5 separate regions of the Mus musculus genome follow, and regions 1, 2, 3 and 5 are each reported to be linked to region 4. The links are microRNA targets in miRTarBase. Many come from high-throughput screens and were not tested one by one. Region 4 holds a microRNA gene; each other region holds the end of a gene's coding sequence. Distances are from middle to middle.
Evidence for each region. The annotated mature microRNA mmu-miR-1198-5p reads UAUGUGUUCCUGGCUGGCUUGG and lies in region 4 at 2,203-2,224, opposite strand. An mRNA with a match to its seed (bases 2 to 7 or 8) in the 3' UTR can be bound and repressed. Matches are read on the target gene's strand: a 7mer-m8 pairs with bases 2 to 8, a 7mer-A1 pairs with bases 2 to 7 and ends in A, and an 8mer does both.

Region 1: the mRNA of Pgm3 is a reported target of mmu-miR-1198-5p. Seed matches in the 3' UTR shown: 7mer-A1 at 1,580-1,586.
Region 2: the mRNA of Appl1 is a reported target of mmu-miR-1198-5p. Seed matches in the 3' UTR shown: 7mer-A1 at 2,649-2,655.
Region 3: the mRNA of Rbm41 is a reported target of mmu-miR-1198-5p. Seed matches in the 3' UTR shown: 7mer-m8 at 3,787-3,793.
Region 5: the mRNA of Pdk1 is a reported target of mmu-miR-1198-5p. Seed matches in the 3' UTR shown: 7mer-A1 at 3,692-3,698, 7mer-A1 at 2,399-2,405 and 7mer-m8 at 1,602-1,608.

Annotation. Positions count from the first base shown.
Region 1 is chr9:86,551,755-86,555,995 of GRCm38, reverse strand. Pgm3 (phosphoglucomutase 3) reads left to right here. Exons shown (of 13, transcript NM_028352.4): 13 at 593-3,520. The coding sequence ends at 682. It overlaps Dop1a (DOP1 leucine zipper like protein A), which reads right to left. Exons shown (of 39, transcript NM_177208.3): 38 at 4,221-4,241; 39 at 190-1,980. The coding sequence ends at 1,675. Among named protein-coding and RNA genes, the nearest start is that of Pgm3, 18 kb to the left of the region's middle.
Region 2 is chr14:26,919,834-26,924,074 of GRCm38, forward strand. It overlaps Appl1 (adaptor protein, phosphotyrosine interaction, PH domain and leucine zipper containing 1), which reads right to left. Exons shown (of 22, transcript NM_145221.2): 22 at 1-4,038. The coding sequence ends at 3,895. Among named protein-coding and RNA genes, the nearest start is that of Asb14, 27 kb to the left of the region's middle.
Region 3 is chrX:139,941,992-139,946,232 of GRCm38, reverse strand. It overlaps Rbm41 (RNA binding motif protein 41), which reads left to right. Exons shown (of 7, transcript NM_153586.2): 7 at 330-4,241. The coding sequence ends at 496. Among named protein-coding and RNA genes, the nearest start is that of Rbm41, 54 kb to the left of the region's middle.
Region 4 is chrX:7,805,125-7,809,365 of GRCm38, reverse strand. It overlaps Mir1198 (microRNA 1198), which reads right to left and starts at 2,265; the gene lies at 2,145-2,265. The region is part of intron 14 of Gripap1 (GRIP1 associated protein 1); the gene reads right to left.
Region 5 is chr2:71,899,769-71,904,009 of GRCm38, reverse strand. It overlaps Pdk1 (pyruvate dehydrogenase kinase, isoenzyme 1), which reads right to left. Exons shown (of 11, transcript NM_172665.5): 11 at 152-4,026. The coding sequence ends at 3,886. Among named protein-coding and RNA genes, the nearest start is that of Pdk1, 29 kb to the right of the region's middle.

The DNA.
Region 1 (4,241 bases), not on the chromosome of region 4:
GTTCTCTATTGTAGATTCTTGAGGGTGTGTTCTGGCTGTACAGGAATAACTAATAAATCCTTAGTTTAGTCTGACATGTGCTAATTTTAATGTATTATAGATTATTCTTTTTCCTCTTTAGAACTGTAGTTTGTAGAAGCAGCCAGTTTTAGTATGTCCAAATTAACTGAATGCTTGCTTTTTTTTTTTCTGGACTTTGTAATTACTGTTCAAATCTTTCTCTAGATTCTTATTACTCTGTTTCTGCATTTTCATCATTTGTTCTTTATGTATACTGTGGTTGAATGCGGACTCAGGAGATAAACAGTTACTTTTTACATGGCAATGACTATGTGATGTAAATTCTAAGAATTACTTAGGGAGGTTTGGTTTTTAAGTTACTTAATTTTGGAATAACTTATAAACTCAAGAACTGAAAATCTTATTTAGAAGAATCCAGCCCATTTTAAATATGGGCTTTGAACCTTATTACTGAAAGATGAAAAAGAAGTTATTTGAATACTTCTGTGAAACAAAGTCAGGAAGCATCCCCTAGGACAGCCAGGAATGGCTGCAGGCACTGTGTCTCACTTAATTTTACTGTGATTTGCAGGAAAGCGCAGACAGGCTTGCCTATGAAGTGAGTTTGCTGGTGTTCCAGCTGGCTGGAGGCATTGGAGAAAGACCACAACCAACTTTCTGAAGATAAATTTTATATTCTGGAGAAGTGGACTTCTAAAATGTTTCTATAACACTTTATAATATTGGCAGTACTAGGGCATTTGTAATCATGACATCAACATGTCATGCATGTTAATGGATTATTTCTAGATAGGTTTTTAAATGCTACCAGGAAAAAAATGTTTAGAAGCTCAAAATCTTAGACTTGGGAATGAAGCTTACCTCTGATTTTAATCTGTATTAAGTTTTAATAGTTCAAGTGTCATTAATTTTACAGGGTATGAAGTGAATTCATGAAGGGTACTGGGAAATTAAACTTTACTAACTTCTTTGCAGCCCCTTTCGATTGCTTACCTAACCAAGATGTTTTGTAGCACTGACCTACCTGGTTCAAATGGGGAGATTTCGTATGAACCAATTTCCCATGCGGATCTCAATGTGAGGAAGAAATGACTGACTGGTTTGCTTAGCAGCATCAGAACTGGCAGGTGGCCCATCTTTCATTGTACTGGCAGAGCTCTGTGCTGTGCCCACTAGAGTGTGTGGTCCAGGCTTCAGCTACTCTTTAGTGCTCAGCGAAGGGACACAGCTCCATCTGATACCTGAAGCCTCTGACAACCAAGTGACCATTCTGATACTAGGACATTATTAACCACAGAAAGAAGAAAAACAACAATTAACAATTAAATGAGGCTTGAGACCAAGCAGGAAAAAAGAAAACGTGGTGTGTATTTTGCAGGTTTAAGACAACCCAAGACAGTGAAACAATGGACTATATATGCAAATATAGACCTTGTAGGCACCATCATCAGTATGAGCCACCTATATATTTAAACTTGATTCAGGCCACATTCAGACATAAGCTCTTATTTACAAATATTTAAATTAAATACAACCTGAATAATGCTTTGTTACATATACACATATATATATATATAAAAGAAAAAGAAACTATACAACTCAGCAGTGTGTTTTAAGTATTCCATTTAGGCTCTGGAGAACCACTGGTGGTGGTCAAGTCTTTATGACTCCTTCTAGAAAGTCCTTTTCTATCATCTCTTCAATTTTTTGCCTGGCTTTGCTGGAAAAGGCTTTGTGATTCTCCAGTTTCATGTCCTTGTTTGGGAAGGAGTTTGGGTAGAGGACGGGGCTCCCTGAGTGTCCGCCACAGCGGCTTGTGACTTTGCTGTTGAAGACTTGGCTGAGGACATTGAAGAAAGGCAGAAGCTGCTCCATGTTGCGCATGGTGCAGAGCGTCAGCAGCAAGTGCCCTGGCTCCCAGCCCAGTGTCCTCCCCGAGCAGTCTTCCTCTGGGTTTTTCTGCAAAACACAAAAAGGAGTTGTTACTAATAGGTAACGTATGTTATGTGAGAAGTGGAGACAAATGCCAGCATCAAGTCTTCACTGCAGACTTGACGAAGTCCACTGGTTCTGAAGCCTTTTAGCCGCCAATCTAAATGAAAAGTTAACCATGGACTTTCATTATTAACAAATGCTGTCACACAGTTTACCATATTGCCTCTAGTCTCCTAAAAATCAAACCAAATCAAATCAATTTATCCTGAAAGAAAGTAAATGATGCTTACAGCCTTTATAGCTAATTTTGAAATACAAGACAATCATGGTAAAATTACTTTTTATATTCCTATGGAGATTTTTCCTTTAAAAGTGTGACCCTTCCCTCACAGCCCTGAGCTCTTAACCAAGAAAAGCACAGTTTCAGTGGTCTTTTGTTCTTATGTACCTGCCCTCCATACTAAATAACCAAATATCTCCATATGACCATTTCCTCCTCTGACTTCACAAGTCTACAGGTGTGTGCCTTCCTTCCTGTTTACCTGTCATTGCTTTTGCTGCCATATCATATGCATCAATAGCCACCCTCACCTGATGCTTGGCCATCTCCAATCCCTCCAAAATCTTAAAGTCCTCCTCGTCCTGTGGAAGGAAAGAGGAGAACTCATAGCCCCTGTTCGAGTAACAAGTGTGTTTGGCCATGAAGGCCTTGTTTAAAGGGATGGGGATGGGAGATCCTTTCTGGTGCAGATGGCTGCCGTATCTGTGGTCATTGTGGAGGACAGCAGAGGGCACAGGCCTACAGTCGTATGAATGGTCACTGTATCTGCATTTCCTCCTCAAATCCTGTGACAAAAAAGGAATGCTTTTGTCCTTAAGTCCTGGATGGACTTTTGGTCCATAACTTTGTCCTTTTATTTGGCTCCTAAAGAAGCAAGTTCCTCATGTCCTTTAAGTAAAGCTCCTAATTGCTTTCTTCCCTTTTGCTCTGTAGAGAATCGAGTACAGCTTCATTACTGCTGAAACAAATCGTGTGAGTTCACACAGACCTGGTCTCACATGAGCCCTAACTCTATGTACTGTTAAGATTCTGCACTTAGACAGGTATTAACACAGGCCCAATGGTGAAATGCCATTTTCATTTACCCCTCTGCTTCAGGGCCAAGATTGGCCCGAAGGTTAGCCTGATCCTTACTTAATTATAAAGGATTCAAGGCATGTATAAACTACAGAATTTAACTTCTACACTTTATTCATGAGACAGATTTTGGTAATTCTCATTTTCTCTTGATTTCCTTTATATAGATGGTTTTTTAAAAAATGTTTTAGACATTTGTATTTTTGAGTTCTTCCACTAACTTTCTGATTAGTAGTCACATTTAGTAGATGGCTTTATTCTCAGCAGTGTTTCTAAAACTACAGGGAGCAGCAGTAGGGTGGATATGCAAAACTGAAACATGGCATAACAAGAGTTTTATAGAAAATATTAGGAAATATTATTAAAGAAGTCTATCTAGCTAATTCAATTTTGATAAAGTATTTCTGTCAAGTTTATTGAAACTTTATTATGTGTTGATCTTTTCATTTTCTGATTTCCTTTGTTTTTTGTTTTTGTTTTTGGGTTTTTTTTTTTGTTTTTGTTTTTCGAGACAGGGTTTCTCTGGGTAGCCCTGGCTGTCCTGGAACTCACTTTGTAGACAGGCTGGCCTCGAACCCAGAAATCTGCCTGCCTCTGCCTCCCAAGTGCTGGGATTAAAGGCGTGCACCACCACGCCTAGCTTCTGATTTCCTTTTTGAGGCTAATCTGACAGGCTTGTTCTGCAGTCACCCCTGAGCACAGCTCTCGTCAGTTCACATCTGTGTTCATCATGGCATCAACCTGACTCTGAGCACACTAAACTCTCAAGAGTACTTACAAGCACTGGTTCCAGTGGTTTCACTCATTTTGAAAGTAAAAAATTTAAAAATAATATTAATAAAGATTTTCTTTATCTTTTTTAAAATTTGAGTATGACAAACAGATTTCTTAAAAATAAATCTTCAAAACCAAGAACTTATTTTCCAAATAAACTTGATAATGTTCTGAGCTTTACAAGAAACATTTAGTAAATGATTTACAAATGTAACATTTAATGTGGCAATTACTTAGTAAACATTTAGTGACTGACTCATGAATGTAGCATTTACTACTAGCACATTTACAGAATACACAATAAAACAGAAAACAACAATAACATAATAAGAACCCTCCTAAACTTTGGTACCTTTGCCCTCTTCCGAAGAAG
Region 2 (4,241 bases), not on the chromosome of region 4:
ATTGCTGATCAGAAGGCTTGAGCAGCAGTGGAAATGCAAGCCCAAGTAGAAAGTAAGATGACTCAAAAAGAAAAGAAGCATGAAGAGAAACTTAGAGCAGTGGCCCAGGAAGCCAGAGACAGGAATGCTGGGCTCACAACCCATGTGGAAAGAGAGGATGGAGAGGCCCGTGAAAGGGATGAAATCCATCATGACAGATGAAAAGAGGCAGGCAGCATGACCGGATCCTTTCCAGGGCAGCTCCTGATAAGAGGTGGAAACCACAGAGAAATGAGAATCAAACGGTGAAGCCACTGCTCTAGGTGTGCCTAATCCTTCAACTTCCATTTAGTCTTAATAAGCTTATGCTATTAAGAATAATATTCCTGGAAAAGAAATACATAGGAATTAGCCCGATGGAGATTTTTAAAGTACTTTAAAAATACTTAGAAGTATTTTGATTAACATTAGTATTTTATGCTATTGAGGCTTATTAACAAAGTTTTAAATAATTTTTCCTTTAAAGTCCATTTCATCTTATCATTAAAAAAGTTCAGTATGGTTCTAGTTTAAAATCTTTATGTTATTAATGTAGAATGACAATTTCAAAGAGAAATAAACTTGCTAAAAATAAAATTAAAAGTTTGCTTGCCATATACAATGGTGTGTTTAAATACTTAAAAGTATGATCTAAATGCTCAGACTGTTATTAGAAGCAAATATTTCCTTTCATTCGTGTGTCAGAAGACTCTGCTTTAAGGGTCTGCCAGCACTGTCAGTTCAAACTGTGAAGAGTGCAGCTCCTGTAGTTACTTGTGTGTTCACTGCACAAAACCATGCTACCTACAATGTTATGCACATCTTACGATCCTTTTCTCAAAAATAACGGCAACATCCTCATCCCAACACTGTGGAGCTTGGAACACTTTTGAAATTGAACACCAATCAATCATTAAGTAATGGAAAAAAACAAGATTAGCTATAGGTAACAGAATGCAGAGTATAATTAGGTAGGCTAAATTTCATTTTTTAAAAAGCAACTTTGTTAATTTCTAAAAAGCTGGGAGACATGTAGCCAGGCAGTGGCCCTCACTCATGCTTGGTGTCCATCTCATTTCCTGATCAAAGCCACTTTAATGAGAAATAGGTACCAGTCCTCAGCAGGGGCCAGGATCCCTCAGGGGAGAGGGCAGAAGATGCCTGGGATCCAGCCCACACTACAGAGGCTAGGCAGAAGGAAGGAGGCAGCCACCTACTAGCACCCCAGCCCTGCAGGGTCATCTCAGCACCCAGGCCTCTCCCCGTGGCTGGGGCAGCCCTCCCCCCCCTCCCCCCAGGTGCATCTGCCCTCAGTTCTTTCTGTGTGATCTATTTTTTAAGAAGAGTTTGTGTTATTTTTTCATAATGGCTGTAGCAGCAGCTGCTGGTTTTGTTTTAGGTGGATGGGGCTGGGAGGGCCATTTCTTCGCTCTGCTTCAGTTGAACATCTAGGACGTATTAAAACAGTGAAGCTTTTCCAGGGCATTTTGAATATGGAAGAGAATCTGAGCAGACGCCCGCAGGACTAAGACTGAAGAGGCAAGGTCTACTTGCCTTGGCTCAGTGACCGTGACAGGAATGAACCCAAACTCAGAACAAGAAAATCAATTCTGTGCCTCCCCCAAAATAAAAAAGTTGTGGGAGATCTTGGCGGATAGTATAACAGAATGACATCTGTACTAACATTTAGGAAGAAGCTGACAGGAGCCTTCTTCAAGCAGAGAGCTGACTACAGCTGATGTGCAGAATTGCATACAGTTTAATAGTGATACAAGTTAAATCACTGAAACGGACTGATCCACTCAGAATGCGTCCTAGGCACTGGAACACATTTTGGTCTGACCCATGGACATGAACACAACTGGGGGAGTTCCTATGAAACATGACTTAAAAAGAATTAGAAAATTCTTACCTCTGGCCTAAATTTTTATCCAAATATCACTATTTTGTTACCATGCAAAGCACCAACCAAATAAAAGTGCCTCCTGATGACTACTCTTACTATAAAACACAGTTCATCTGAAGCAAGCATGACGTCTTCCATCAAGAAAAGATTCATGAAACTGAAAACCTGGGGTGGGGGTGTGGCTCTGTGGTAGTTTAGTAACTGATCACTGCGAAAATCAACAAACAAAAACAAAATAAAATCAATAGCAACAACAACAACAAAACAAGAAGCCTTACCAATATCAAAAAAAGTTTTAAAAGCAAGACTTGTCACCACTAATCACGGTCTAACCACAGCAGTTCACAGTTTTAACAGAGGAAACACTACTTACTATGAAGGCATTCCCTTTAGTAAGCCCAAAACAGACTTTTAGCCAAATGCACTCCATAAATTGATAATTATTAACTGTATGTTTGGGTAACAGAAGACTTTGAAGAGTAGTAAATAACCATTAGTCTCATTTGGCAAATGGAGAAAAAGAATATGATCCTATATATATCGTTATCTTGTTCCTACAGAAAACAGTGTACTTACAGAGTGTGAAACGGAGCTATAAGCTGAAAACTAAAACTTCTAATTCAGAACAAAGAGAAACTACTTGTGAAATTAGTGGTTAACCTTTTGAAAATCTCTAAATGTATGACTATGTAAAATACTAATCAATATATTTAACCTGTATACATATGTGTGTGTATATATACACACACACACACACACACCTTTTCATGTAGAATGAATGAAAATAAAATCTGTAAACACAGTTTAAAGTCCTAGTAAAGAAAGTTTTGACAGAATCACCCTCAGTACACGCTAACTCTGTCCTGCACTATATGAGGTGTTCAGTTCCTTTTCAGTCTTTCATGGAATTAGACCTTTTACTCATTTGAAAAGTAAAAGTATTTACAATTATTAGTGCAAATTATTCTACACTCAAATTAGTTATTTGCCTTTATGGATAAAAAGTGGCAATTCAATACATTATCAAAATGTGGGATTATGAAAATACTGGGGTTATCAGTCTGAAATTCAAAAGATTGTTTTCTAAACTAAACTGCACATTTTTATTTAAGCAATAAACATAATTGTTATAGAACATCTTTTGAAATGTCACTCATTGTCATTTAAAAATTATTTCACAATACAGAAAATACAATGTATCAGTCTACAACACTCCCTTTACATGTCAATTCTAATATAAAATGTTTGAACAACAACAATCTCAATAAATTCTGAAGTCTTACTCTCTAACCTTTCCTGTTCTGCAGCAATAAGTAAAGTCCCAACCTGAGAACTGAGAAGATGGTAACAAAATACCAAGTGCCACACAAACACCAACAGACACTTGAGGTCTCCCACTGCCATGATCTAGTACATCAGAGAAATGGAGCAAGCCACAAAACATCCTGAAGTCAACAGCACCACCTGCCCCGTCCTTGTGATTTTGTGCAAATTCTATTGCACACTCAATATTGTTACAACACTTGCACACTTATAGAATTCTCCACATAAAGGATGTTAAGCTCACTCAATTGAGCCCTCCCTCACTACCAATAAAACATTCCTAATGAAAGGGAGAGTATACACAGGAATGTCAGAATCCAAGAATAAATCATTCCTTATGGAGACAGCCAATTACAGTGCAAGATAAAATGTTCACAATTTAAAGGAAAAATATCTTGAAGACCTGTAATTCCTCAGCAATCTACTACAGAAAAGTAAGCAGGTCTTGTTTAGGAAAGCAGAGTTGGATGACAATGCATAGTATTTTATTTTTACGGGGAAATGTTCGCTATAACCGGTTATCAAGTTCAGTCTTTTTAAATGAAGCTGAAGCACACTACTGTAAAGCTTATCTCTTCCATGATCTTCAGCATGGATACGCTGTGCCACATCCCAGGGAAATGAGAACTCAAAAAGCAGCAACAAGTTTATGCTTCCGACTCTCTTTTTTTCCCTTCTTCTCCCAAATCACTCTCCTCTGATTGGCTACTGCTAAGAACAAGCTGGCCCTCACTACCAGCCTGGTTTGGTCTACTGGAGGCAGCTATCAACCGACTCTGTTCTTCCAAGTCCTGGTGGAAAGATAAAGAAAGAAACTAAATTTAACTGTCAGCAGTCAGATAAAAAACTATGCAGTTTCCGATGGAGCTCTACTATACATGAGAGCTGTTCCAATCTTGTCACATGCACTCATTCTGATAACCTAATGAAAAGAAAGGCTAGATGCAACAAATGAAAACACCAGCATGAATTTTGGCACCATTTGAATAATCCC
Region 3 (4,241 bases), 130 Mb from region 4:
TTAGTGCTGTCTCAGGTCCCGCGCAATTGGATTGGAACAGAAGTTGTGTTCCACTCACCATAGGTCCTAAGATCGAGTGGAGAGTCCTCTAGGGACCTTCTGGTTGTCCACTGACTCCACGCCCAAGGTCACCCGGTGCTGGCCTTTTGTCACTATTATTGCCCATTAATTTAATCTTGACTACTTATACAAACTGGGGATTGCAGGCACGACAAAAACATCAAACATCATTATGATTTTTTATAGCACACAAATCCAAATTAACCCTGTAATATAATTGAGTGATTAAGCACTATATAATTTGATGCATGTTTCTTATTTTTTTCCAGATAAAGACATAGCATGGCAAGCACTGCACCAAATTAATGGATATAAACTCTATGGGAAAATATTGGTGATAGAGTTTGCAAAGAGCAAAAAGCAACAGTCAGCTGTTCAGCGCTCTTCCCTTATAACATCTGCTCCTGATGGCAGAACAGAAATCAATGGCAGCTAGGAATTCGTATCTACACACATGTACATGCACATTTGGATATATGTATGTAAATGAATATTCAGATGATTTTTCTTTTCTCATTTCTTAGATCAAGAATATGTAAATTCATAAAAATTTGTTGAAAATTGAAGAGGAAATATAAGAAAGAAATTAGGACAGTTGCTCTCAGCATTTGGAGAGAATTGATAAAAGTATTTTCTTTTTTTAAGATATATTTATTTATTTTATGTATGTGAGTACAGTGTAGCTGTCTTCAGACACACCAGAAGAGGGCATTTGATCCCAGTATAGATGGTTGTGAACCACCATGTGATTGCTGGGAATTGAACTCAGGACCTCTGGAAGAGCAGTCAGTGCTCTTAACCTCTGAGTCATCTCTCCACCCTAAAAAGTATTTTCTATAATTAAATACTGTATAGTATTGAAAAAGATTGTATAAAATTGACAATATCCTGGGTGTTAAAGATAATAATGAAACACTATATATGGCAGAAAATACCCTGAGGGGTAAGACCATGTGAAAACCTTTAATTCTCAGGATACATTACATAGGACTGTTCCTAAAGATCCCAAAAATCCTTTAATAATTTTGTAGTCTTCAGTGTTTAGTCCTAGAGATAAGACTTTTTCTAGGAGTGTTTCCTGTATACGAAGTTTTAAAACTAACCCAGTGTTAAAATATTTCTTTACTGAACTCAAACTGTGTTTTGTCAGAACCTTCAACAGTTTCAGTAGGTAGATTCATAAGTTTATTAACTTAATGATTGCTTCCACACTAAGTTTTCAGAGTCCTCAAAAGCATATTTATTATTATGACATCTTTTAAACCAAAATATTGGTAGTCTATGATACTATTGCATTCAAAACAATATCCATTAAACATGGAGTATCTGTCTAATGTATGAACTTTCAAGACAAATGAACTAGCATCTATATTAAAGGGACAGGAAAGAAAGTTCTTTAGAGGAAAGGCAGCCTGCCTCAAATTCCCTAGTGATTCGTTTATAGTTGTTGAAGAAGAAGAAGAACCTAAATGGTTTAGACGGTAGAACCAGCTTTGGAGTCAGACCTGTGACCCTCAAAGTCACCCATGTTTACCATCCTGAGCTTAGAAAGTCACTCACTCTGAGCCTCATTTATCTCATCTATAAAAAGTAACATTGCTTCTGACCTCCCTGAGTAAGGGTTAAATGAGATTATAATATCCAAGGTATTATATTATATTATATTATATTATAACAAGGGGAAAAATGAACTTTAGGGTACTCCACTAAGTACATCAAACAACATATAATAAGAATTTCATTCAAAAGCGAGAAAGAAGCATAAAATACTACAAAAGGTCGAGTGAAATGGCTCAGTGAGTAAAGGCATTTGCCACCAAACAGGAAGACCTGAGTTCAAACCCTCAGACCTGCCAATAATAGGACAAAAAGGCTGGGAAATAATGCTATAGTTTCTTTAAAAATCCTGTAAATCCATAGGAACAAATAAAACAAAAGGGAAATAAGGTGGCTAAATTTTACTAGGCTGTAAACCTAATTCTGCTTCCTAGAAGTAACAGAATTATATTGGTAGTTGTACTGTTCTGTTAGCCCTACAGTGTGTTGAAAGAGTTCGCATGGCTGAGGAAAGGGAAACAAAAATGCTAGAGATAAAGATCCACTTTGTGTTTAAAAGGTTGGTGTTTTAAGATGTGAGAATTTTAATCACATATTTTCATAACTACAGAGCCCTCAAATAACCTGAAACAAGGTAGCAAACAAAGTAAAGAATGAAAGGAGAAACAGGCACATCTCCAAACTGGTGGGTACTCAGTGTCTCCTTCCTAATACAAGTACTGCTGCACAGTTGATAAACAAGGAAGTAGCCAGTTTCAGCACTGGATGCTGGATAGATCTGAAAGACAGCTCTAGAATATAGCTCTACTAGAATATATATATTTTATCCCATGTATATGAAACATCTTTAGGCTAGATCATGAACTGAACCACAAAACAGGCCTTAATAAATACAAATGGACTAAAGTCTTGTCAAACATGTTCTCTTCCACATGGAAGAAGGTTACACATCAGTACCAATAAATCGGGAAACTCACAGATAAGTGAAAATTAGTGATAACTTAAAGACCAAGTCGGTCAATAAAGAAGCGGGAGAGATGGCTCAGTGCATAAGAGTACTTACTGCTCTTGCAGAGGACCTGAGTTTGATCCTCAGCATCCACACTGATGGTTCCCAGCTACCTTTGTCTATATATGGGATATGCTTAGAGATAAGCCTATTCAATGAGAAGAAAGACCGTGTAACAGTAATTCACTTCATATCTTAAGCCATAGGAAAATAATAGCAAACTACACCTAGAACAAACAAAAAGGGGAAAACATGCAAAATGCCTGAGAATAGAGTACAAGAGAGAAAATGCAAGGAATCCAAGCGAGAAACTGGCAAGCCTTTTGCTACATACAGCAGGAAGAGGTAGAATGTAATCATTAGTTTGAGAAATAAAGGAGGGAATGTTGCTACTGACCTTTGAAAAATAGAAGGTGTGTGAGGGAGTACTGTTGTACTCATGTGTCAATAGATTAACCTACTAAAAATGAACAAATCCCTAAAAAGATAAAGTACCAAGAACCAAATATAGGAAGCCAGAATCGACCTACTAACAAATAGGTTAAAGAAGTCACAAGACAGATAAGCCACAACAATACCTATACTTAAGTTGCTTTAGATTTGAAATCTAGAGTTCTACTAAATGTTTAATAAAACAGTAATCCAGTTTCTTCACATGCTGTTTATTAAGAAAATAAGGAATACTTCTGAGATATACCACCACATGGGAGAACCCTGAGAGTATGTTCAGGGAAAGAAGCCAGTCACTGGTGAGGACAAAATGTGCAATTCCATATATATGTCAAGTACAGAGTTGGTTTAAAAAGTGCATATATATGTAGTAATAAATGGTAGGCAAGAAAAGCTAGAGTGTTCATAAATTACATCAGTGGTTGTATAACAATGAACATACCAAGTGGGTGAATGTTGTGGTATGTGAATTAAATCTCAGTGAAACTCAAAAACATAGGAACTTGGACATTATCCAAATGTCCACCTGTCAACATGAGTGACTTTTAACTGATGGCACATCCATTTAGTTGGGTATTATGAAGCCATTAAAACAGTAGACTAGATCTATGAATATATTGTGACCTCTACTCATATCCAAGATTTTATATTAAGTTATAAGCTAAGATACATGTATGTATGTATTTATGTATGTTTGTATGTATGTATGTAACACATTTTTAAGCAAATAGTTCATGTGTATAGTTTGTAGAGATAATTTCAAAACAAATATAGGAATAAAATAGGAAATGTATATAACGGGCTGTAAACCTTCTGCAAGTGACTCCGTACAAGCTAAAAACAAAACACCTCCACCTTGGAAACATTTTTAGGTGGTATGATTTGGAGCGATTTTTACCTTTTTCACTACTTTTTAATTAAAGTAATTTTTAAATATTCTTACAAACACTTGGCTTCCAAAATATTAGTCAGACCTACTCTGAGGGTTTCTGACTTTACTCAGGACAAACTTGTATTCATTTGCTATATTGCTCACGCGATTAACACTTCAATTTCTCCTAGAGTTTAAGGGGTGGGACGTGAAGGAGCCACCCTGGTTACAGCCTCTTGCACATGTTACCCTGGGCTACACTTCTCAGCCAGGTTTCCCGGAAGGGACTGCTTC
Region 4 (4,241 bases):
CTGGACATCGTGGCTGGGCTTCTTCCCCCCCCCCCCTTCCTTCTTTCTTTCGTTTTTGTTGGTTTGTTTGTTTTGTTTCAAGACATGGCTTCTCTGTGTAGCCCAGGTTGTCTTAGAACTCACTCTGTAGACCAGGCTGGCCTCAAACTTAGAGATCTGCCTGCCTCTGCCTCCCAAGTGCCAGGATTAAAGGTGTGTGCCACCACCACGTGAGTTTTCTCTCTCTCTCTCTCTCTCTCTCTCTCTCTCTCTCTCTCTCTCTTCTTTAACAAGTAAGCAAATAAGCTCTGGCAAGTTTTCTTAAAGAAAAACTTTCCAGGGGCTGGAGAGATGGCCCAGTGGTTAAGAGCACTGATTGCTCTTCCAGAGGTCCTGAGTTCAATTCCCAGAAACCACATAGTGGCTCACAACCATCTGTAATGGGATCTGGTGCCCTCTTCTGGTGCGTCTGAAGACAGATACTGTGCTCATTTATGTATACATACATAAAATAAATTAAAAGAAAAAGAAAAGAAAAACTTTCCAGGTTTGCGTTTCACCAGTCTGTTATAATATCAGAATGCCAGGGTCAACAAAACTAGTGTGCATACTCTGTAATGATTTTCCACACATTGTGCCACTGTAGTGACACACAACAGTTTTGGCCACCATGGACTAATGGTACTCTATTTCAGATCGCCTCAAAGATGGGTATGTTGGAAAGAGTAACCAATTTTATTTTTCCCTGTTTGGTCCTCTTCAGAGTGTGCTCGTCTCCTAGCATGCACTTTCTGCTCTTCCTAACCAACTGGAGACTGGAGTTGAGCGACCCCAGAGCCTTTTCATCCTCTTTCCAGCCACTGCTCTTCTGCCTGAAGTGCAGGACAGCCCCCAACCAAGGGCAGCTGCACAGAGGATTGAGACCCACAACGCTTTTCTTTTTTTTTTTTTCTTTCTTTTTGTTTTGTTTTGAGTCAGGATCTCTCTATGTAACCCTTGTTGTCCTGGAACTTATGGAGACCAGGGGGGCCTCAACCTCGCAGAGATCTGCTGGTGCTGGGATTAAAGGCATGCACCACCACCACATCTAGCCCCAGTGTTCTTTTTTGAGACTGAGTCTTGATTCCTTAATGGAAAGAATCCTACCTCAGTTTCCCAAGTAGCTAGGAATAGCATCACTGGGCACAGCTCAGGTGGTTAATCTGTATCTAGAATTGTTAAGTATAACTTAAGTCTTTATTATTATGATTTCTTTGTTTTTAAACATTGTCAGCCACCATCCACTTTTTTTTAAAGATTTATTTATTTATATGAGTACACTGTAGCTGTCTTCAGACACACCAGAAGAGGGCATCAGATCCCATTACAGATGGTTGTGGGCCACCATGTGGTTGCTGGGAATTGAACAAAGGGCCTCTGGAAGAGCAGTTAGTGCTCCTAACCACTGAGCCATCTCTCCAGCCCTTATTAACGATTTCTTTGTTTTGAGAGAGGGTCCCCCTATGTATCTTTGGCTCAAGCTCAAGGAGATCTCTGTGCCTCCATCTCTTTGGAATAAAGACCACCTGTTATGACTGTTTTGGTTTGATTTTATTTTTTTAAACCAAGCTGGCCTCAAAATCACAATCCTCCTAAGGTTTTTATTTTAATTTTTATTTATCTATTTATTTTACATGCACAGGTGTTTTGCCTGCATGTATGTCTGTGTCCCACATGCATGCCTGGTGCCTGTGGAGGCCAGAGGAGGGCATCAGATGCCCCAGAATTGGAGTTCAGACAGTTGTGAGCTGCCAGGTGGGCACTGAGAACTGAATCCCGGTTCTCTGGAAGAGCAGCCAGTGCTCTTAACTGCGGAGGCACCTCTCCAGCCCTGTGTGAGCTTTCTGAGTGCTGGGATTACAGGCAGGAACCACCAGAGTCAGCAGAACATGTTCTCAAAAGAAAGGAAGGTTCTCCTTACTACTATTCCCTGTTCCCTTTCCTCCTTCCTTCCTTCCACATACGATGTAAATATGAAAGTGAAACAGTTTCAACAACTGTTCCTGGAAGCAAAACACAGGTCCGTGTCAAAGGCTGGAAAATAGCAAGAACCGAGGTCCCTGGTGATTGGAGATCCATAATTCAGAACAGATGTGGAGGCTCAAACCTATAGTAGCAGCTCTTAGGAGACTGAGACAGGATGACTGCCATGAGTTAGAGGCTAGCTTGGGCTACACATGAGTACCAAGCCAGCCAGGAACACATAACAGACAACTGTCACAAACAAAATAAACAAAAGAAAAAAAAGAATCCACCATCATTGCTATCATTAATCCCTGAACAGCCTACTTGGTCCATCCTCCTCTCACTTTTGACTTCATTTCCTTCAGCCAAGGTCTCTCACTAAATCTGTCGCTCACAGTTTTTGGATAATCTGGCTAGCCTCCAAGCCCCAACTACCCTGGCATCACCTTGCCACCTTCCCAGCATGGGACTTACAGGCATACTTCTCCCATGGTGCTGGATTCTGAACTCAGGTCTTCATGCTTGCTCTTGTTACTAAGTGCTCTTGCCCACTGAACCATCTCTCCACCTGTGCCCCACCCCCACCCCCTGTGCACCTTGATACAAGTCTCCTATGTAGCCCAGACTGGTCTCCATCTTCCTATGTAGCTAGGATTGCCACGCACAGTCCGCTGAAATCTGCTTGGCAGGCCGAGAGGCCTGGAAGCGCTCACGAGGCAAAGAGTTTCATGGAAACTCACCTCCTGGAGTTTTGGTGTTCTCATTAAACCCATATACTCATACCCTATTTCCGCGTTAGTCTGGTGTATGGATCCACATGCTCTCTTTTAGTATTATCTTATTATAAGTGCCTTTTAAGATTGAATTCTGACATAGCTAAGCCTTCGCCAGTGTTCCAACATCCTAGAAAGTCCTTGAGCTGACCATGGGCTTGGAATTTAGTAAGAATGTTGCCTATTCAGTGATATTGAGAATTGCCTCTGGTATTACACTATCACTTAGAATAAAAGCCAAGTTGCTCCCATATGCAGGAATTTACAATGGTTTAGGAAGTAGATCAGGCTGTGGTTTTAGAGTATTGCATTATTCATGAGATGGTTAGCTAGATCGGAACTCCCTAATCAGAACCATGACTTATGTGTGAAAGCCCTTGCCCTAGGAGTGAAAAGATCTCACACCTGGCTCCTAAAACTATAGCTGACCTTAGATAGAGCTGACTTTGTCTCAGTTATTTTATTGCCCAGTTCCTGCCAGTCTTTGTGTTTACATTCCTCTGTTTTGTGTAAGAGTCATTAAGCATCCGGTAACCTCATTTGTACCTTGCCCATGTGTCACCTAACTTCCCTATTTTCTTCTGTATAAAAAGTTTGATGCGCAATTTGACAAATTACATTCAGATTCTACACAACCTCTTGTGTTTCGTCTGTCTGTCATTCATTCGCCCACTCTTTGCCCACCTGCCCCAGAGACTCGTTCCACGCAGACAAAGGGACCCAGAGGGTCTGTGGCATAGGATGACTTTGAACTTCTTTTTTGTTTTTTTTTTGGTTTTTTGCTTTGTTTTTGTTTTGTTTTTTCAAGACAGGGTTTCTCTGTGTAGTCCTGGCTGTCCTGGAACTCACTCTGTAGACCAGGCTGGCCTCGAACTCAGAAATCCACCTGCCTCTACCTCCTGAGTGCTGGGATTAAAGGCGTGCGCCACCACACCCAGCTGACTTTGAACTTCTGATCCTCCTTATTCTGTTATGTGTGTGTGATCCTAAGAACTGAGATCACAACATAAATATCACAGAGCCTGGTTTATGCAGTGCTTTGAACTAAGCCCAGGGCTTTGTGATATTATACAAGTACTCTGTTAACTAAGCTGTATCACCAGCACTAAACCTTTGTGTGTGTGTGGGTGTGGGTGTGTGTGTGTGTGTGTGTGTGTGTGACAGAGAGACAGACAGACAGACAGACAGGGTCTTATTATGTAGCCATTTCTGTCCTGGAATTCACTACATAGACCAAGCTAGCCTCGAACTCAGAGATCTGCCTCTTAAGTGCGGGCATTTAAAGGCTTGTGCTGCTATGTTTAGCCCCAAATTTCTTTCTTAATCCAGTATTATTCTAGTTTCTCCAGGCTAAGCATCCTTCATCCTAAAACCTAAAATCTAAAACGTTTTTTGTTTCTTTCAGACAAGGTCTTACTATGTAGCCTTGGATGGCCTAGTATTCACTATGCAACCAATACTGGCTTACAGCATATGGGAATCCTC
Region 5 (4,241 bases), not on the chromosome of region 4:
TCCACGGTGCTAGGGTATAAAGCCTTCTTTATCCCTAGCTGAGTCAAAGCTTTTGGAAGCCAACAAAATAGGCAGTCTTGTATCTTCCTACTAAAGCCTACGATTAAAATGTGCTACAGAAAAAAAAAATGTGCTACAGAAATATGAAGACTACAGGCAAAGAAAAGTGGACAGCACACTGTTTAATTCTTTGCAAACACAAAAGGTAGAACAAGTGATACAGTCATTTAAGAATGCCAGGATTGTGTAAAATAGCAATGCGTTGTTTTCCTTCACAAAGCATTAATTCTATTTTTTTTATAGTGTCTTGGGTTTGACTGAGAGAAGAATTAATAGTATTGAGAACACAAGTTAATCGGATATGAGAAGTTCCTTCAGTTAAAACAACCAAACCTAACCCTGGCCACCTCTCCTTTCAAGCTTTGTACTTCCTTGTAAACCTGATGACATAAGAGAAGGTTGCTGGCTGGGGTCCCTCTCTAATTAGCCACTCACTGAGTTTCATAGAACCACACAACTCTTTCCTCCTCTGTAGTTGTTTTAGACCTCATTGATTTAAAAAAAAAAAAAATACAGCACACAGGGTCCGTACATGTAGCCTTGGCTAACCTGAAACTCCCTATGTTGACCAGGCTGGCTCAAGCTCAGAGATCTACTTACAGGTGTGTGCCGCCATGCCGCTGTAACGGTGAAAGGCAGGCGTGGTGGACCCACGCTATCAACGAGCAATAGGACATACTCTGTCTTGACTAAAGGAGATTCCACCAGTGTTGAGTAGAAGGCAGTGCCAGTTACACTAAGCCTTTCCCTACTGTTATTTCTACTGTGGAAAATGACTTACTTATACAGCTCTTCAAAATTATCCACCAGTTCTCCAGCACATGTCAATCATTGGCAGTGTATTAGAAAAGGGAAATCTAGGATAACTCTAAGCACACGAACTCTACCTGCTTTGCCCACTAGGCTATCTACAGTGCAAGCCTGCCTCAAGCACTGCTAGGAGATGGTTGAGAGTGCAAGACACCTGGCTACAGTTATTAGTGTGGTGTATGTAGGGGATGCGCATGTGCACAGTGCACGTGTGGAGAACCACAGATAACTCACAGGATGGTTGGTTCTTTCTCTAATTCCACCATTCGTGCTGAGGAAAGATCTCCAACCCTATCCCTAACCCAGGCTTGATGGCCATGCTTTTACCCACTGAGCCAGTGCTGGCAACTAGTTACAATTCGTTGAACCTGTACAGATATTGAGTCTTGATGATGAAACAGACTGCTGTCTAAAGGACACGAGTATATTTCTAAGATCCTTAAGTGGCTCAAATTTTTTTTTAAAGCTGATCCATCTTTTCAGTTTTCAGTCACCCCGAAAATGCACCACGCTGCGGTAGAATTCTGCTTCTATGTCTTCATGTAGAAATCTCAGTGTAAGACACTGACCATTATTAAATGTAAAGGCATCAAAACCAGCCAGCATTTGGAATTACAGTGTGGAATAGTCTTTTATTTTTCGAGACAGGGTTTCTCTGTATAGCCCTGGCTGCCCTGGAACTCATTCTGTAGACCAGGCTAGCCTCAGAAATCCGCCTGCCTCTGCCTCCCATGTGTTGGGATTAAAGGCGTGCGCCACCACTGCCTGGTGAAATATTCTTACAATCCTTTCCTACACTACACTGGCACACTCACTAACTGCCCAGGTTATAAAAATCACTTGCTGTCCATTCCCCAACCATCAACTCTATTTTCATACCTAAACCACATAAAACTATCGCTGGCAGACAAAATGGCTCACCTTAAGAATCTAAAAACCTTCCAGGTGTCTTTAAAAGTAACTCTGGAAAGCGTCCCCTAGAGCTTTGTCACATTGTCTCCATCCATTACCATTACAACAGAGCAAAAAGGTGCTACACCTTAAAAAGAATCTAAAGTAAACTAATTTTAAATTCTTCTTGTCTGAAAACATTTCTTAGCTCTTAAGCAGAGAGGGGGATAATTTTTTTTAATTCCTTGGAGAGGGCAAAGTATTTCACAAGTAAAAATAGTACGTTTATTGACAGTTGTACAAAAGATTCCAAAATATTTCATCATTGCAGTAAAGTGTAATTGAAAGCTAGTAAGTGCAATACACTGAATAAATGCCACTCAGGAGCATGATCTATTATTTCTTACAAAGTCCTCAATTAGAAACAGCAGGTATACGGTGTATATTTTCCAACATTTGGTAGTATTAGCTAAAAACCCTGGGCCAATAGGACCTGAGTTTCAGGCCCCTCACCTCTCAGCTAAGGATCTGGGCTGACCACCCTGGCGCATGCTCAGGCTGCATGTTCCTATCACTGGCACCAAAGTTCTATTTTGTGCCATGTCACATGATTTGGCTTTTGTATTACAGATGTATGTATGTGTAGGACACAGAGTGAAGACTGGATAAAACATGTCAAGAGTGACATGTTTTAACTCACTACATTTTCCAAACCAAACCCCCAAATCCCTCTAGGCAAGTGGCAAAGCATGTTTTCCAAGTACTTCCCCATCACCTAACAGAGGAGGTTATAAATATCCCAGACAGTGGACAGTGATCAGCAGAGACAGCTCAGGCTGGGGCACCAATTCTGTGTGACTCTGGGTCACTGAGAGAGAACCCAGGTGTCATTACCTGCTCCATAGGTTTGTATTCTAACACAAATAACATCAATACTTCAAAGCGTTTGTTGCAGACTTTAAATCAACACATAGCTGCAAATGAATTCTGTAGTTAATATAAGCTGACTTTTCTTTGATTTAAAAAAAAAATCTGGATATTTTAGAAAAATACATGTTCTTAGTCACCACTGGAAACCAAGGTGGCTGAGCCTTTGGTCACCTGACCTCTCGCTGTCACCCTGGTCTTCCCGCTAATGCTTTAGCTTGCACCAGGCTTGAGATTCAGATTATGTCCCCTAATGTGTAGCAACCCGACAAGCTTCCCAATCTAGTCTGTCACTCTGACAACAGCAGTAGTCACGATTCACTCCCAAATATAGTTCCAGCCAGGCCAGCCATGAGCCTCACCTGGTCCCTGGCCTTCAGCCTCTGGATCCCTGGGTGGGACCCAGAGAATCTCACGCTCATCCTCAGATCACCTCAGCAGTCGGTCAGCTCGGCCTGGGCCACTTGGTGCTTCCCAAACAGTTTACTCTCTGCTGCCATTTGGCTTGTTTTGGGACTAACGTTTCTCTTGTAAGCCAGATGTGGTGGCACACCCTTCTCATTCCAGCGCTCAGGACACCGAGGGCTTTGTAAGCTCAAGGCCAGCTGGGGCTACACAGTGAGACTTTGTTTTTAAAGAAAATCCCTTGTGCTGACAGTAAACTCGATAACCACGCTCTGGACTTAGCTCCATGGGGAACCAGTCATTACAATCCACTGCAAAAAAATGATGCCATGATCAATTCATTTCAGCACTCTGACAACCTGTGTGGGTTCTAACGGATCACTGTGTTGTTCTTCGTGGGAGATAAGAAGACCATCTGACTAGGTGTCACCACTCACAGATGATAGAACTCCAAAAGCAGAGAGGCCGCTAGCCAGCTACTCCACGTTCTTCAGATGCTTCTAGCAGAAGTAAGTGAAAACTTGAAAGAAATACTCAGCTTCCTACAGAAACCAGGAACTTCACACCCCATACCATACCAAGGGTAGTTGACCAAAATTATGTGTGTTCAAAACCACGCCCAATTAACCCAACACATCAGAATACAGTTGGCATAACCGATCCTTTAGGAGCTTCAGCAAACACTAATTGTGAAGATCACACGTGAAATATTTGGAACAGTGTGGTTCCAAATACATGTCTTCCAAATTTAGCAGAAACCACATGTGGATGTGCCAGGCGTCCCATGTGCGTTTAAGAGCTTCGGAATGTGGTCATGTCTTTCGGCTCTCGGCTGGGCACACACCAGTCGTCAGCCTCGTGGTTGGCTTTGTAATGCTTCCAGGCGGCTTTATTGTACACAGGGAGTCTCTCGACGGATTCTGTCGACAGAGCCTGGGGTTGAAAAGAAGTCAGACACTTCTGAGAGTTCGTTATCTGAGATAATATACAGTGGCAAACAGCGACCACAAAGTAAACAGGGTTCTGCTGGCATCTCATCAACTAGTTACTAACCACACACCATCTTCAGGGTGGATACATTAGGAAATGCTATTTACTACAACTGGAGCACTGGTAACACACTAGTTGGGTTTGATGCTTCAGGTATC